Regions from separate parts of the Mus musculus genome. Here regions 1 and 3 are each reported to be linked to region 2. The links are microRNA targets in miRTarBase. Many come from high-throughput screens and were not tested one by one. Region 2 holds a microRNA gene; each other region holds the end of a gene's coding sequence.
The links. Region 2 holds the annotated microRNA mmu-miR-337-3p (UCAGCUCCUAUAUGAUGCCUUU, at 3,063-3,084, shown strand). A microRNA usually pairs through its seed, bases 2 to 8, with sites in the 3' UTR of a target mRNA and lowers its output. Matches are read on the target gene's strand: a 7mer-m8 pairs with bases 2 to 8, a 7mer-A1 pairs with bases 2 to 7 and ends in A, and an 8mer does both.

Region 1 (5,912 bases), not on the chromosome of region 2:
ATTTATTTATTTATTATATTTAAGTACACTGTAGCTGTCCTCAGATACTCCAGAAGAGGGCATCAGATTTCGTTACGGATGGTTGTGAGCCACCATTTGGTTGCTGGGATTTGAACTCGGGACCTTCGGAAGAGCAGGTGGCGCTCTTAACCACTGAGCCATCTCGCCAGCCCCCAGCATTTTTTTAAGTAACAAGAATTTCATTCTGTTTCATGTGTTTCTTCATGTGTGTGTTTGTGGTGCAGGAGATGAATTCTTTTCTCATAATGAGCACTCCACCACCAAGCATCTTCTTAGGCCTGGTCTTGTTGCTATATTCTAGTAAACCACAAAGTCTTTTAAAGAGTAAATTTAAAACCTAAATTTTATGGTTTACACTAAGTACTTGTTCAAGAATTATTTAAGAAGCGTAGCAACGCCTAGATTTCAGCTAAGCTAGTAAATACTGGTGTAAGTCATCCTGGCCACAGGCATCTTTTCTAAGTGGCAGATTTACCCGTTGTATAGGAAAAGCAGGTAAGACCTTACATAAGGAAGTGGAAATGTGTAACTTGGCATAGACCTTTCACTTCACAATTTTGGTGGGTGCTGCTGTAGTCATTTCCAACCCTCCTAGTGGAAAATTCTCATGTTCCTCTAATGAAGTAGTACATGGGTGGCAGTATTTTAAAAGTTCTAAGTCAACGTTACCAGCTGGGTACTCTGAAACCCACCTGATAGATGTATTGCAATTAGCCAGTACTTTTTCTTAAATCAATTGAAATTGTTCTTAGACAATTTTATACATTCAAAATAGATAGTGGCCACTCTCGCCTTCTGTCCTGCACGGCCTCTCCTTTCCCCCTGATCTCTCACTGTGACCAGTGCTGTCTAGGTGACCATGCTTTTGAAGCTCTGCAATAGAGCATGGTGGGCTCAGCAGTGGGTACACAGCGAGAGACAGTGCTTCCCCCCCCCCCCTCTCAGAATCTACCAGTCGCAAATGGTTCAGAAGTAAATGGTAGGGCCCCTTGAGCCCCTTCCCCCACCTTGACTATTAATGAGGCCTATGTTAGATGGGTCCAGGGCAGGTAACAAGATTGGAGTTAATAATTTCAGTGATTGCATCTAGTCTAGAAAACAGCGTTTTGCAATCCCTCATCCCATCTTCTGGTTCTTAGTTCACTTCTGTAAGGCTTCTTGAGCCTTCGAGGGGTGGGATAATTGTCTTGTTTAGGGCTGTGGGTCAGAACTGTCACAGCTGCGTCATGGGGAGGCAGGACTCTGTATTCAGCACCACTCATTGCTGAGAGAGGATTCTCATATTATGGCTGGGAACCTTTTGTTTGTGGGTATAAGTGTAGATAGTAAAAGGTTGTTTGATGCAATGTCAACTTAGAGAACCATCAATATCAGTTTAACCATAATAAGCTCTCCACATGGCCTGACTGCCCAGGGCTTACGGTACCAGGAATGGCCCCTCAGCACCCTTCCCCTTCTCTGTGGAGTGGGCTGGGGCATTTTCATAGTTTTGGATGGGTGCAGCCATCCTTCTGGCCCTTCATTTACATCTAAACTAAAAGTTGTAAGGATTTTTGTATAATAAAATGGCCTATTTTAAAGATTTTAAACATTTCTTTCTACTTACACATGAAAAACTATTATTAAACTTGTCAAATCACAACCATTTTATTTTACATAAACCTAGACATTCAATTTTCTAATTGAATCAAATAATTTGGACACTTTATCAGAATACCCAGTAGAACATTATTTTAGAATTCTTGCCATTGAGGGATAGTATTCAGATCAGCTATCAGAAACAAAAATCAACACATTATTGAACCTGTGGGGCTTAAAAATGGAATGTTTTCCTTAGGACAATAAATAAACAAGATTTAAGAAAATTGAAGTGAACTTCAGCTAGGACTCATGTAGTTTGTAATAAAGGCAGTAGATACTCTCAAATATGGATTTCTTACTTGCTTTGTGCTTTATTACAGCAAGGGAATACAAGAAGAAGAAAAAAAGCCTACCATGACAGTTCTCCAGAGGACAGTACCTAACAATATCTGAGTAGCATGCTCAGCAGAAAGCACAGCCACACTGGAGGACATCAGGAGAACCCAGCTAAGTATTGCATGGTAAAAATGACTTCAAACTATTGGATGAGTGTAACTATATGCCATGTTACTGGGCAATGAAGAAGCCCAACGCTATTAGTTTCAGGAAGAGCAATGTAATAAATTTAGCCACACTACATGTCACCTTGCTCAGCCATGCACAATGCTAAAAACGAGTTTATGACCAATAAATACTACAACACTTGTTTATTAGGAAAATGTAAGGTGCTATAGCCATCCTTTCCAGGCTATTGAGAGCAGACGGTAGCATTGTATTCAACAGTTAGTTGAATGTGGAGGTTTCTCCAACTGTCAAAGATACAACTTTTATCTTAAGCTCTTACAGATTTTATTGCCATATACAAAATAATGGGTAAGCTATCCCCCTTTCCTCCCTTAGAACTGACTTTTACAAATGACATTAATTTGTTTTGCGTGGAGGTGTGGAGGTAAGAAGACAATTTTGGGAGTCAGGTCTGGTCTCTAGGTCTCAGGGACGAGGTTCAGTTATCAAGGTAGGCAGCAGGCGTCTTTACCCACTGTACCGGCTGGTTTTGTGTGTCAACTTGACACAGGCTGGAGTTATCACAGAGAAAGGAGCTTCAGTTGAGGAAATGCCTCCAAGAGATCCAACTGCAAGGCATTTTCTCAATTAGTGATCAAGGGGGAAAGGCCCCTTGTGGGTTGTGCCATCCCTGGGCTGGTAGTCTTGGGTTCTATAAGAGAGCAAGTTGAGCAAGCCAGGGGAGGCAAGTCAGTAAAGAACATCCCTCCATGGCCTCTGCATCAGCTCCTGCTTCCTGACCTGCTTGAGTTCCAGTCCTGATTTCCTTTGGTGATGAACAGCAATGTGGAAGTGTAAGCAGAATAAACCCTTTCCTCCCCAACTTGCTTCTTGGTCATGATGTTTGTGCAGGAATAGAAACCCTGACTAAGACACCCACTGAGTCATCTCACTGGCCTTAGGACTGACTTTTAAAATTATGTGGTGCTGGGGTGATGCCTCAGTCAGGACCTTACCTGCCGTACTACTGTGAGGAGTTGGGTTCAGATCCTCAGACTCATACAGAAAGCCACATTCAACAGTGAATGCTGTCAATCCCAGCACCAGAAAGGAGACAGGAGGATCTCTGGGGCTTAACGGCCATCCAGGACCACTTAACTGGCAAGTTATTGATTCAGTGAGAAACTCTCTCAAAAAATAATGGTAGAGAGTGATAGAGAAAGACACTTCATGCTGACCTCTAGCTGCTTCATACACACGCTCACCCCCCCCCCCCACCGCCCAACAAGCTCACAAACACTACTGCACCTACACACACAGAGAGAGAGAGAGAGAGAGAGAGAGAGAGAGAGGCTCACAAACACATACCACTCATATACCACACACATACACAGCACTTGGAGGGTGAGAAGGGGAGAAACTGGAGATAATTTTATAATAAAAATACATCCCCAAAGCAACAACTGAAGATGCACACTGACAAACCCAACTATTCTTTACTTTTGGCAAAAGTGTATGTAGCAGTAGTAGTTTACAAAAATAAGTTAGTCCTCTGGTATACACATTTTCACAGTTTGAACAGGAAGTTAGTTTCCACTGTCTTCCAGAGTATCCCCAGCACACATCAGCCTTCTGCACCCTGCTGCTCAGAAGACACTTTCAGGGTGGATCTGTTCCGAATCCGTTTCCTTTTCCTTTTCTTTTCGGAAGCAGGGGACTTTGTATCCTGTGCTTTCTTCTTTTTCTTCAGGCAGCTGAGAGGATTGGGGCCGCCCACCTTCTTCTTTTTCCTCCTCCTCCTCCTCAGGTCCGGGTTCCGCACCAGGCCTTGCTCCTCCTTCAGTTGCTTGATACTCTGTTTCTCGTGCACTGAGACCAGCTGACCCGCCTCGACCGCCTTCACAAAGGCCACTGTTCTGGGAGAAGGCTTGTCCAACACTATAGTGTTCTGAATAATGAACATGAGAGGAATTCCAGGAGTCCTCTTGACTTTCACAGATAAGTTCTGATCCTATTAAAAAGGAAAGGGGTTTGGTTTCTCAATCAAAATTAGAACCTAAAATTAAGTTTCTATTAAAAAAGGCTAGATGGGGAAAAAAAGAACTATATGTTTTCTTTTTCAGATGACATGTCTTATTAATCAAAATGTATCTTACGGTAGAGGACAGAAAACATAAAGACTAAGCAGAATGAAGCCACTCAACAGCAGTCGGGGCTGGATCAGTCAACACTCTGGGCCCACGAATTATCAACCAATGCAACAGAAAATACATTAGAAACTTTCTCTTGCCTTTCCACTAGATATTCTCTCGAAACATCGACAAGGGAAGAGGTTGGAGCAGAGTAATAAGCTGACTCCACAATCATATCTGTATACCTCATGTGTGCCTAGGTGGCCGTAAGATGGCGGTGGGTTCCTTGAGACTGTAGGTACACATGGTTGAGAGCAGCTGTATAGGTGTTGGGAATTAAACCAAGAGCAGCCAGCTCTTAACCCCTGAGCCATCTCTGCAGCCTCCTGATGCTAATCTCAGAGCACATGCACCATGAGCTGAGAAGCAGGAATTCAGGAACATGCTAGGTTATGAGTCCAGAAGGCAGAGACTGCCCGACTCCTCCCTGCTTGAAGAACCGTGACGCAATCAGCACACTACTGCAACAGCTCCTCAGCCTCTAGAAGGAAACTTCTGAAGGAAAAAAAGTCCCCCAAACTTAGTCTCCTCCTCATATGTTCAAGTAAGTACCTTTATTGATCCCATTTTAAAATGTACATTTTTAAAAGTCCAAACAATGAAACATGAATTAGCTAAGTGACTGGAATCCTCTCTAATACACCACAGTAAGTAAATAAATAGAACTTCAAACACTACATTATCTCTCCCACTTACTTTTCTTTGTACTGCAAACAGAGCTGCATGAAGTATATATAGAGGTAGTTAAAACTGCCTTACAGTTTTGAAAGTAACATTACCTGTGTGGCCACAAAATAATGATGAGGGTTCCCCTCATCCACCATGGACAGGAGACATTCAGACCCACTCACTGGGCTCTTGAAATGAGGACAGTTTCGAACCTGGCATTTCTGTGCAATCAGTTTTGCTCCATATAATTCCTTTCCCAGTGTTTCTAACTCCTTTAACACACATCTGGGGAGAAAAAAGTCATTCAGAGTCCAGAATCACAACCAATACATTCCTTCTGTTTATACAAAGCAAGCATAAACACAATACTCAAGTTTTTAAGGTGGAAAAACTATTCCATAAAAATGTGACGGGGGAACGCCAGGGCCAAGAAGTGGGAGTGGGTGGGTAGGGGAGTGGGGCGGGGGGGGGGGGGGAGGGTCTGGGGGACTTTTGGGATAGCATTTGAAACGTAAATGAAATAAATACCTAATTAAAAAAATAAAAAAATGTGGATTTATAGCACGGTTGCCATTTTCTTCTTAAATGAAAACTTTAAAAATACATACTCCAAGCAGAAAGAATACCAATGTCAGAGTACACTAAGCATTTGTGTACAGGAAGCATGCAAGTTGTTTTTCGCATATACTATTGCTTAACCTCAAATGTATAATAAAGCTACATGATTAACTGAATTAAATTTCTAACTTATCCTCAAATCTCTACCTCTTACAGATGGACCAGATACAATGAGCCTTCCAGATACTGAAGAGGACTCCAGGTCACTATTACAACTTCAAAAATCACTAACACAGAATCAACAACAACTTATGTATCCTGTTTGAATCCTGATTTTAAAAAATAAACAAATGAAAAATAAGAAAAAAAAGTTTGTTTTTTTAATTG
Region 2 (5,912 bases):
CCCTTTTGTACCCATGTGCCACATGAAGCACTACCTTCCTGTGTGTCCTCCCCTGTGTCACTTTGAACCTCTCATCCCCATTTGTCATACCATGCTCCAGCCTATGTGCCTCAAACAGAAAAGATTCTCCATGCTTCTTACCATGAGCACAATCCACCTCTCCTGACACCTGGAGTCTTGCCTCCTTGTGTCTCTCTACTCCTGCCTCACATGCTCTTTTCCTGTGACACACTGAACCCCTTTCCTCTCACACAGACTCCCCTCGGTCACCTGTCACACCTTTCTCACAGAACCGTTCTCCTTCTGTTCATCACATGGGGTCATGCCACCTAGGTATCAAACTGGTCCTCACTGTGCTATCCTAAGTCTTTCCTTGGCCGTGTGTCCCACAGTTCCTCAATTCTCCTTTGTGTTAGGCTAAGTCCCTTTTCAACAGTGGCACTCAGAGTTATGAGCTCTCTACCCTCGCACAAGACATTTGTGTCTCTTTTCCAAGTGTTTCTCATCTAGACCCCATTACATGTCAAAACTTTCTACACCTATGTCACACACAGAGCCCCTCCCACCACCCATGAATCACAACAAGGGTCCTGAGTCACACTGCGTCTCATCTCTCCACGGGTATCACATTCAGCTCCACTCCCCTACCTGGGTCAGAGTAAGTTTCTCTTCCCTATCTTTACATGGTTTCCCACTACACCTGCTTTGTCTTGGACAGACCCCTCCCATCAGGCTGCACTTCCAAGACCCTCTGTGTTCATGTGTTAACATTTCTTATGTCTTATTGCTGGCCTCACACTGAGTCCTCTCCTCTTGTCATCCTGTGTTAGGGTTAGGCTATTGTCAGCCATGTGTCTTAAAGAGAAAATTCCATAATGGGGCACGCTTTGCCTAGCTCCACCCATATGTCCTGAAGAGCACCATTCCTCTACATGTGTCATGCTTAGCCTAACCCTTCCTACGTTCTGTATGCCCCCTCTCACACCTGTCGTGGTCACCTGAGTTCTACCCATGTGTCCTAGAGAGAGAACACCTCTCCCCACGTGTGTCATGCTTAGCCTAGCCCCACCCGTGTGCCCTGTGCACCCGAGCTTCATCCCACTTACTCCCCATTCACCTTAGGCCCCTCCCTGACTCTGAGCTCCTCCATCGTGAGAGGGCCCCTAAATCATGTGTCCCATAGCCCTCGTTCCTTTTAGTCACCACAAACCCTGCTGGTGCTCCAGATGCGGTACACGGAACTCTTCTCCTCTCGCTCTCTCTTCATGTTGGGAAGCCCCACCTCTGCACGCAGCACGTTGAGACATCCACCCCTTGCCTTGTGACATGGAGCGCTCTGCCTCTACACATACCACACTGTGACGTGCATGTCCTCCAGGTCACAAAGCAACTCATAGGTGTCACATCTAGTCCTTCTCCCCACTTGTGATGAACACTTTCCTTGACAGATGTCACACCGAGCCCCTATTTCCTCTATCAGAGCCCCTCCTCCTTATGTCCCACATGCAGCCCAGTCTCTTTCTCAGGAGTCATAGGCTCTCCTGTACAAGAGTCATACTGAGCCCCTCCTCTTTTTATGTGTCATGTTACCCCTCCTCTGCACATCACATTTACATTTTTTCTCCCCTGTACCATGGATTCTCTCCCCCATGTATAGCCTTGGACCACTCCCCATCCGCTAGATTTAATCCCTTAATCTCTCCATATGTTACTGACACCCCCCTGTGTAGGTAGGCATCATGGGATGTCCCTGTTCTTTTCTTTATGACATGAAGACCCCCTCTTTGCGTGGGATATCATATCCTTCATCTCTCCCTTGTGACATACGTCACCCTGAGACCCTCCTGCTTCCCGTGAGCCATGTCCCTATGCTCCCATACACATACATGTCCCTTTGCAACCCTCTTCTGCCCTGGATGATGTGCAGCTGTGTTCCACATGCTGCCCTGAGCCCCCCTTCTCTCTCTCCCCTGCCCCACTGACATCTGCAGCATCTTACCACAGCATTGAGCTGCCTTAACCCTTTGTCATTCACATGTCGTGTGCAGCTCCCTTCCTCCCTGGCTTAACACCGAGTCCTCCCTTCCCCACCTGTGTTCACCTGTCTTCTGGCCTCCCATCCTTACTACTCCCTCCCACCCCCATACTACCTCTTTATACCCTGCTCTCTGAGACTATGCTGGGACAAGTGTTTGTTGGCAGTTGGTGGGTGTGCCAGACAAGGAAGAGAAGAGCACAAGTCAGGAAAGATTTTTTTTTTTTACTTTATTCATATGTAAGGTGATACACATGTGCCATTCAAGCTGGCCATGGTGACAGAGGCCTGTCAATCATAGCCACACTTGGAAGCCTGAGGCAGGAAGATGGAGAAGTCGGGATCCACTCTGGATTACACAGATCCTGTTTCAAAAACAAACAAACAAACAAAAAAACTAACAGGCAAGCAAAAGCAGTTTGTGGTTTTTAGTTATTCATGGAGGAGTGTAACTCAAGTTGACACTCAAAGAACCTGGGGAGCGGTTGTTAGCTGTACCTGCAGTTTGTCCCCTCACCACACTGAGTAGCTTTTAACCCATGCATCTTTTTGGGGGATCCATCTGGGGCGTCTAAGCTCCTGCTGGTTCCCATGAGTCCCTTCTAGGTCTGCAGAGGAACCCACTGGATACTCGGGATGGACCTTAGCAGGACACTCCTGTGACCACAGTCACCCTTCCTTCCCTCTCCGCTTCCCCACCCCTCCTTCAGTGCTCCCTTGCCCCTCCTCTCTCCCTCCCATCCCTCTGCTCCCTCTCCCCCCTCCTCATCCCCTGGATTGGCTCCAGTCACTCCATGAGAGTTTATAAGAAGTGAGGTTGGGCAAGGAGGGTAGATGCTTCCACTGTGCTGCAGGTGCCCTAGGGCTGGCTGGCCTTTGGTTTCCTTCCTCTAACACTAAGCCCTGGGAGTCTGTCCTACCTGTTGTCTGTGCTTCTTGCCTTGCTTTTTCAGGAGAGGAGGGTCCCAGTGTAGTGAGAAGTTGGGGGGTGGGAACGGCGTCATGCAGGAGTTGATTGCACAGCCATTCAGCTCCTATATGATGCCTTTCTTCACCCCCTTCAACCGCGTGAGGCCTCCGGACCCTCCTCCGCGCACCTTGGGCCGCTTAGGGACGCGTCTTCAGCTCGCTCTTTTCCCCTGGCATGCTTTCTCGCCATTCTCCACAGTTCCTGGAGGGGAATACCCGGGGCTGGGCCATACCTGAGATCATTCCTTGGCGGGGGAGCTATACCCCTGGTGGGACATTCCCTGGGGCTGGGCCAAGGGTCACCCTCTGACTCTGTGGCCAAGGGTAGACAGGTCAGAGGTCGATCCTGGGCCTACTCTGGGGCTCCTCCCACTGGGATTCCAGGAGCCGTTCTCTCCTGGAGGTCCTCTGAGGGGACCCAGCTCCTAGCAGAAAGGGTGGATCCTTGAGAGATGGGGTCTTTGTTACTAGAGCAGGGCACAGGGCTGAGACAGGGCAGGGCTGAGCATTACCAGTGCTCCCAGAACAGGGTCTCCTTGAGGGGCCTCTGCCTCTATCCAGGATTATGTTTTTATGACCAGGAGGCTGAGGTCCCTTACAGGCGGCCTCTTACTCTCTCCTTGAGCCCTTCTGGAGACGTCTCACCTCATTCAGTTCAAACTCTGGATCCCCTAAGGAGTGCAGAAGATCCCTGTTCATCCTCCTCCCAGGCCGGGTGCCCACAGACACTTCAGTAGCACAATGAGCAGCTGGCGTAGAGTCTGAACCCCAATACCTAGGTCATTGCATGCATACAGGGCCCATCTCCATCCCCACAACACCACCATTATTAACTGCATTTACCAGCTATGGCAGCCAGCCCCGGCACACAGGAGCACCCTGAGTGAATAGCCTGGAAGCTGTGAAAGGATTTGAGGGCAGGACAGGGAGGACCCAGGCCACACCCAGTCCCCCTCCCCTTCACCACTGTCTCTCCCTTCCCTGTCCCCCCCTCTGCCCCCAATCTCCTTCTTCCTACTTGTGCTCCTGCACGGTCTTGGTGGCAAGATGGTCATGCGTGTCTCTCAGCTCACACAGGTGGATCAAAGTCCAGATGAGGTTTGCTGCTCAGGTCTCAGATCGTGTCTAACGATGTGGTCCCCTGGGCCCAGCACCAGGGCTTAAGGTGTATGGGACAGTTGAGGGGTGGGTAATATTTTCTTTTCCTTTTCTTACTATGGGGGTAGCCCAAGTTAGCCCAGGTTACCCAGGCATGTGGAGATCTCTGCTCCAGCCTGGTGAGGAGCTGGTAAAACTCTGGACTCAGGGTCCTGTGTGTGTGCTGTCACTGGCTCTGGTACCTGCAGGGACATCTTATAAGGGGAAGCAATGGAGAGGACAGGGAAGGTGGGCAAGGGAGGGCCCCTGCTCCTCTTTGTTCCTGGATGCTGTCAGAGCTCTCTGGTTGGGGACTGAAGCTGGGAAGTGGGGGCAGCTCCTTGGTGGGTGGAGTCTGCAGCCAGGGCCTGGCCTCTGGTTTTCACCTTGACAGGGTTGGAAGTGATGTTATCATCCCCTAGCAGGAACTTTCACACCAATTTCTTTCTTTTCTTTTCTCTTCCCCAGGAGAAAAAAAAAGGTTTGTGTTGTGTTTTTCAATCTCTATAAGTGGCTCCGCCGATAACCTGATAACCTACCGTTTTAGCACGTTTTAGCACGTCACCAGCTCTCTTCACAGTCCGGACCACCTCCTTTTGCTGTTAATGGGGACAAATCCCTGCTGGGTAGATTGGTAGGCCTGCGGGCCTTTATTGTCCTTTATGGTCTGTGTTCGTGCGGGCTGTGGGTAAACGCACCTCTGCAGTCAACATCACTGGCAGCCTCTTGGCGGGCTGCTGGCTCACTGAGTTCTCCTTCACTCTCACTTGCTTGGGGCCCTCAGGGCCTTGGGGCCCCTGGCAGTAGTCCTGACCTAAGTCATCTCTGCATTCACTGGGCCAGAGAAGTCCTCACCAAGCAGGGACAGGATTGTTTTGTTTTGTTTTGAGGCCCAGTTTTGTTGGAGGTGCCCAGGTAAACTAAGTGAGGGTACAGGACTGGTACGTTTGTTCTCCTCCAATAGGACCCCAGTCCCACCTTAAGGTTATGGACGCTCCTTAGGAACAGGAGGAAGTGCTGAGTGAGGCTGAGCCCCTGACCTTGAACCTGGGATCCTATCCATGATCTCCTGGTGCTACCGTCAGGGGTAGATTCCTTGTCATGAGGCCCCTTAGGACCCATAAGGACACAGTGACCCCAGTGCAGGCTGGAGGGGGCGTGGAGGGATGCAATCTTGCGTTCTAAGTAGGGTTTTTCTGGGACCCAAGCTTATAGATCCTGTATAGATGGGATCAAAGAGCTGAAAGCAGGTAGGGGGAGGTGTCATGCTGGGTATCCAGGGGTCTGACACATTCTCAGGCCAAAGAGGGCCCCTTGAGGTTAACTCAGGGGTACATTTCCAGGCAAGATATAAAGGGCAGAGTTAAGAAAGGGCCCTTGGGCGTGAGGGCCCTGCTCATTGCACCTGCCCACTATCTTTGAGGTCACAGTGGGAGGGGGCCCTTGTTTTTATACTCCTAGCTTGTGTGCAGATTTTCTGGGTAGGAAGTATAGAGTTTGTGAGTAAGGGACTATTTGCTCAATTTCCCTCTACCCCTAGGAGCTCCTTCCCCATCCCAGAGTATCCCTCAAGATAGCTTTTTTTAAGGCAAGGATCTCAGGGGCCAACTGTGGGAATGGTTCCAGTGGGGGGCCACTGGAGCCTCCTTAGCAACAGGAGGAAGTGCTGAGTGAGGCTGAGCCCCTGACCTTGAACCTGGGATCCTCCCCATGATCTTCTGGTGCTATGGTCAGGGGTAGATTCCTTGTCATGAGGCCCCTTAGGACCCAT
Region 3 (5,912 bases), not on the chromosome of region 2:
TGCAGCAGGTTCGTCTGGTGTCTGCCCTTGGCCCTCCTCCCTCACCACATGCTCCTAGACCCCTGCCAACTACCTACCAGTCCATGTAGTGGAGAAACAAAACTTATGGGGGTCTGGGGATAGGGAAGGGGCAACAAGAGGCAGATGGGGCAAATCCACTCAAGATCAGATAGGGTCACCACACAGACAGCAACAGAGGAAAGCAAGCAGCCAGGAGAGTCTGCGACAGAACAGCCAGTGCAAAGGCCCTGGGGAAGCCTCCTCCTCCAGAGGGAGGCCCACCAGAGGCAGGCAGAGGTGGGTGGCAGGCATGTTCATGGCCAGCCAGAGCTACGTAGTAATACCCTGCCTCAAAAACATATAAGATAAAACAAAAAGCAACAACTAAAACCCAAACAATAAAAGAAAAGCCACGCCTAGAGAGGGCTCCGTGGGCAGGAGCACTGGCTGCTGTTGCAGAGACTGGAATGGGTTCCCAGCACCTGCACAGTGGCTCACAGTTGCCTGCACCTCCAGTTCCAGGGGATTGCGTGACCTTTTCTGGCCTCTGTAGCCCTCATGGTACACATACATACCAGCAGGTAAAACACTCATACGCGTAATATTTTTTTTTTTAAGTTTAAGAGAGTTGACATGTTGACTCAAAGAATAAAGTCTCTTGCTACCATGCCAGATAGCCTGAGTTCGATCCCCAAGTGTGGAAGGAGAGAACTGTGACCCCTGCTGGTTGTCCCCTCCACATGCACATACACACACACCACACACCACACAGACACACACGAATGTAATAAAAACATTTTCAAAGTATATATACATATACATACATATATGTATGTATATGTATATATACACATATATGTATGTATGTGTGTATATATATATATATGTATATATATATATATACATATATATATTAAAATGCCAATGGCTCACCTATTGTGAGCTGTAAAAATTGTAATTTTTTTAAGTTTACCCTGGTAAATTATCAGCAATGTTCAGGGGAGGAAAGTGGACCTTTCGTGCTCTAGAGTGGATCGGGTGTTTGCCTAAGACACACAGCAATTCCCTGCTGCCCCATAGTCTATCCTGATACCTTTCTTCTGGTGGCAAGTTCTGGAAAAGGCTTCAGCACCATGTCTCCCTCCCTACATTTCCTCAGGTTTTATCTCCAAACCTCCAAAAACTGGGCCATGGAGCCTAGCACAGCTTCTGGGCCACTCCTGGGGTGTGAGGCACCGCCCACATGTGTGTTTCTGGGACAGGCCGGCGGCTCAGAGAATAAAGGGTTATGAAACCAGGAATGTCCTGGAAAGGCAGGTTGTGGGGCCGAGCCGTGACCAGCCATGCAGGGCGCTGGATGCCATAGATGCTGTGAGGTTGAGGGGACCTGTGGGGATCGGGAGTCTGGGTCTGAGCTTCCAGGCTATTAAGCTTTGACCAAGTACCTTGCTATCTCTGGACCTCTGTTTGCTGACTAGGGTGTGATGTTTCTTCCAAGGCCGATCAGCACAAATGTGAATGAGGGCTTAGGCCCAGAGACTTGTGAGCCAAGTATTGTGAGGAAAGCGCCAATTGAGTTTATCAGTGACAAAGGGCAAATCGAGAGAAATCTTGTGCCAAGATCCGAGGGAGGAGGGTGTGGGAACAATGGTATGGGAAGAAGGGGTTCACACCAAATTATTCTTGAAAGTCAGGTTTGCGGGGAGGAGGCTCTGTCCTATGTCCTGGGAGGCCACTGGATCAATGGAACTGACGGGGAAGGAGGCCAGAGACAGACAGGCTGGGGAAGGGGCTCCAGAGGTGAGGGTCTGGCAAGGGGGAAGATGGTCTGTCTGGTGGACCAGGGTGGGAATGTTGGGGACACAGAGATGAGTATATGCACAAGACAGGCAGGCAGGAAGGACAAGGATGATGGCAGACTGGCATCTGGGCTGAGGCAGACAGGGAAGGCTAGGCTCCAGAGACCAGCACTGGGCAACCAGGGAGGAGCAGAGTAGCCCCACCTACAGCTTCTGCTCCCGACACACAGCAGCAATCTCTGTAAGTTGCTGAGCTGATTTCTGTCAACCTACACTCCCCTGCCTCCTTCAGAACCCTATAGAACCCTGGAGAACAGGGAGATGGGGAAACTGAGGCAGAGAGTCAGGAACCACTCCAGGCCAAACAAAGTGGTCCCCACTCCACTGACGCCTCCTCTCCCTACCCCAGGACCTGCGAGGCTCCGTGCAACGCATCTGTGAGTTCCTGGGCCGGCCACTGGGTGAAGAGGCCCTGAGCTCTGTGGTGGCCCACTCAGCCTTTGCTGCCATGAAGGCCAATACCATGTCCAACTACTCGCTGCTGCCGGCCAGCCTGCTGGACCACCGCCAGGGGGAGTTCCTGCGCAAAGGTACCCCTGGGTGCTTCTAGCCAATTGCATGGCTTTCTGGGCCTCCATTTTCCCAGAAGGCCTGTGGAATGTGAGAGCCACCCTAGACGTGTCTTCACTCTCAGCAGGAGGTCTGGCACCGCCCGCTGACCTGCCTCCATCTGGGCCTCTCCCTGGGACAAAGTGAGGCCAAAGCAGGGGCTCTAACAACATGAGTGTAAAGTCCCCAGGAACCTTTTTATTAGTTAACACTCAGTGCAGAGTAATTCAGTGTGGTGGTGCTTGCCTCTCAAACCAGCTAGACTCAGGTCAGCCCGCGATGCTAGAGAGGCTGTCTGTCTCGAGACAAAGCAGAGCTGCTACAGCACAGGATCCCCGGGTGACTCAGGTCAACCCCCTCTCTACAGATCCTTCCGCCATGTGGTTTCATGTTCTAAATTCCAAGACTTGGGAATCCCTCAGGGAGGCCCCTGAGCTCACAAGAGGTGACACAGCATGTAACCAAAATCTAACAAGCTATTCTAAAGAGCATTTTCCACACGGGCAAGAGGTGGACCCCTAGTAGTCTGAGGGACCAGTACTCAGGACTGCATGCTTGTGGAGTGCCTTGCTGAGACAGCTCACTGGCTGTGAGGACCTCAGACTGGCCCATTCATGTGAAGCCTCTAGATTGCCTGGCTGGGGTGGACCAGCCATCAAGTCGGAAGAATGTTGAGGCCATGTTGGGTATCTGAGGGGAACGAGGGGGAGAGAGCCTTGTGCTGGCAGAGACATGTCCCAGAGGAAGTGATGCAGGTTGTCAAAGGGGTGTTTGGGTGCCAAGAGGGAGGTGAGTTGTGAGAAGATATCTGGGAGGTCAGAGGTCAAAGGACAGGGCTGGTGTGGGGTCACCTAGGTGTAAGGGAAAGAAGCAGTATGCCTAGGAGGCTCTGGCCAGCTGACACAGGCGGCGTGGTTGGTCATGGTGAGGGAGGCTGAGGGGACATCCAACAAGGCTGAGACGGGAGCAAGGGGGTACCCCAACAGCTCCTTACTGGGCTCTTCCTCTGTCCCCTCCAGGGATCAGTGGCGACTGGAAGAACCACTTCACTGTGGCCCAGAGTGAGGCTTTTGACAGTGTTTACCGAGAGCAAATGCACGGGGTGCAGAGGTTCCCCTGGGACACGTCTGAAGAGGATAGCAGCCCTGATGGCCAGCCTGACCCTGAGCCCAGCCCCAGCCCAGCTTCTGATGACCCCAACCCAGGATCCTCACAATAAACTTATCACTCCAACCACTCCCTCCTCTGTGCTGACTTTCCGGGGCAAGCAGGGGGTGCAGGCAAGCAGGGGGTGCAGGCAGGCAGGGGGTGCAGGCAGGCAGGCAGAGTGGCCAGCCACACACCACACAGACAGAATGCGCCACACACCACACAGACAGAATGTGTGCATGCTGCAGAAGGCAGTGTGACTCGACAATCACCCCATGCTTGGGAGGTGGAGGCAGTGGGATTGCAAGTTTACATCTAGCCTGGGCTCCTCAGTGAGTATCATAGCAACAACATGAGATACAAGGGGAGGGGCCAGGGTATCATAGCAATAACACAAGATACAAGGGGCCAGGAGCCCAGCACTGAGCTTGAAGTCAGGATGCCAGCTCCACTGTCCCATAGGCCTGCACCCCTAGACCTGAGGGGAACCCTGGGTCTGAAGAAGAGCTAGGGGGGATGCTGGAGGCTGGACTCTGGAGCAGGAGGGGATGGGGCAGGAAGGCCATGGAGACGCGTGTCTGTGCTGTTGGAGTTTAATCCGAGTAGAATACAGGGACATGCTCTGAAGCCTTCCCTTAGCTCCCACAGAAAACTCCAGACATTGTCCAGTGTCTCAGTATCCCCGGTACTTTCCAGACCTTTGTTTTTTTTTTTCAGCTTTGCCCATCACCCCCCGCCCCAACCTCTACCCCCATTAATTCTCCTCTCCTGGACTCAACTTTATCTATGTCTTCTCTGTCGTGGGGTTGCCCCACTATCTCTTTATATAGTACATGGTGAGGCAGCTGAGCCTGTCTCTGCAGCAGTCCTGTCTGCTGCTCTGGACCTCTCTGCCCATTTCCCAGATGGCAACACCAAGCTCTTAGTGAGCTCACCCAATTCTAGAGCAATTAAGACCAGTCCCTTCTGCTGCCAAGATCCTAGACTACAGGCCTCACATACAGCCAATGTCTGGTTAGAGCTCTAAACTAGACCCATGGCTGGCCAGCCACATCTGGCCAGGGTTCCTGTCAGCGTCTCCTTCCAGAGCCTGAGCCAGAGGCCCAGTCTGATGTGGTGGCATTGTCCCCCAATCTCCTTTGGGCTGGGGATAGGTAACGCAGGCGGCGGGCTGGAATCGAGGGTAGGGGGCCACCCCAGGGCTGTGAACGGGAATCCATCTCAGCTCTGGGCCCACCTCCAGTGCCCCGCTGCCTCATCAGGGCCCTGGCTGGAGTGTCCTTGGAGACCCAGAACTTCTTGGACTGTAAAGAAAAAAAAAAAAAAAAAAAAAAAAGAAGGTGAGTAGTTGCTGGGGCTGAGCTGGTGGGGTGCTGGCATCACATGCTAAAGGCCCTGGGGTTGAGCCTCAGCATGATATAGACCAGTTATGATGGACACTGAGGAGGTGGCACGGCAGCAGGAGGATCAGAAGCTTAAGACCAGCCTGGACCACATAAAACCCCATCTCAAAATAAGGGGGAAAGAATGTTGAGACCATCAATAAGAATCTGTAACCTTAGTGCTGGAAGACAGGGACAGATGGATCCCGAGGCTCCGAGGCTGCCTGGCAGCCAGGCTATCAGCAACAGCCAGCTCCAAGAACAGTGAGAGACATGTCTTAAACGGTAAGGTGGAGAGTGACAGGAAGACCCCCCGGGAGTGACATCTGACCTCAATAGGCACACACCAGCAAACACTCCTACATACACAGGGACACACATACACAAGAGGAGGAGAGAATATCTTGGGGCCCAGAGACAAGGGAAAAGGGACAAAGGGTGAGAGACAAGGAAGAAATAAGGGAGGGGAAGATGATTTGGAGGGAGAGACATAGGAGTTAGAGGTGGAGGAGGGAGGAGTTAGAGGTGGAGGAGGGAGGAGTTAGAGGTGGAGGAGGGAGGAGTTAGAGGTGGAGGAGGGAGGAGTTAGAGGTGGAGGAGGGAGAAGGTAAGGGAAGAGGTGGATGGAAGGTACTTGGAAGGAGATGGAAGAGAGGGAAGGGGAGGAGGGAGGACAGGTAGAGGGAGGAGGGAGAGATGCCAGTAGAGGAGATGAGGAAGATGAAAGGAAGCCTCCAGAGCCTGGGGGACATAAGTGGGGAGCCTGGAACCCCAGACCTACATGGGATGCCTTTCCTCTTGCCGTGGAGCTGGGGAAGAGCAGGAAGCAGCTGTGGCCATCCAGGGGAACAAATATTTGCCAAGGGAGGAGAACCCCAGATGGAGGCGAGGCAAGGACCTTGACCTGGCCACTCCACTCCTTTTCCTTTAGGTCTAACTTCATAGACAAAGCTGACAGAAATGACTCTGCTCC

Region 1: the mRNA of Utp23 is a reported target of mmu-miR-337-3p. Seed matches in the 3' UTR shown: 8mer at 2,889-2,896.
Region 3: miRTarBase lists Fam83e as a target of mmu-miR-337-3p. The part of its 3' UTR that is shown has no 7-base or 8-base seed match.

Annotation. Positions count from the first base shown.
Region 1 is chr15:51,880,356-51,886,267 of GRCm38, reverse strand. Utp23 (UTP23 small subunit processome component) reads right to left here. Exons shown (of 3, transcript NM_030132.5): 2 at 5,078-5,252; 3 at 1,646-4,117. The coding sequence ends at 3,731. It overlaps Gm34678 (a long non-coding RNA gene), which reads left to right. Exons shown (of 6, transcript XR_003951502.1): 6 at 1,983-1,995. Among named protein-coding and RNA genes, the nearest start is that of Utp23, 5.9 kb to the right of the region's middle.
Region 2 is chr12:109,582,788-109,588,699 of GRCm38, forward strand. It overlaps Mir337 (microRNA 337), which reads left to right and starts at 3,002; the gene lies at 3,002-3,098. Mir3544 (microRNA 3544) reads right to left here and starts at 3,086; the gene lies at 3,026-3,086. It overlaps Mir540 (microRNA 540), which reads left to right and starts at 3,293; the gene lies at 3,293-3,359. It overlaps Mir665 (microRNA 665), which reads left to right and starts at 3,527; the gene lies at 3,527-3,620. It also overlaps Mir3070a, Mir3070b and a transcript of Rtl1 not described here.
Region 3 is chr7:45,727,715-45,733,626 of GRCm38, reverse strand. Fam83e (family with sequence similarity 83, member E) reads right to left here. Exons shown (of 5, transcript NM_001033170.4): 5 at 4,135-4,861. The coding sequence ends at 4,628. It overlaps Sult2b1 (sulfotransferase family, cytosolic, 2B, member 1), which reads left to right. Exons shown (of 6, transcript NM_001360784.1): 4 at 1-8; 5 at 2,209-2,389; 6 at 3,428-3,644. The coding sequence ends at 3,627. Among named protein-coding and RNA genes, the nearest start is that of Spaca4, 4.9 kb to the right of the region's middle.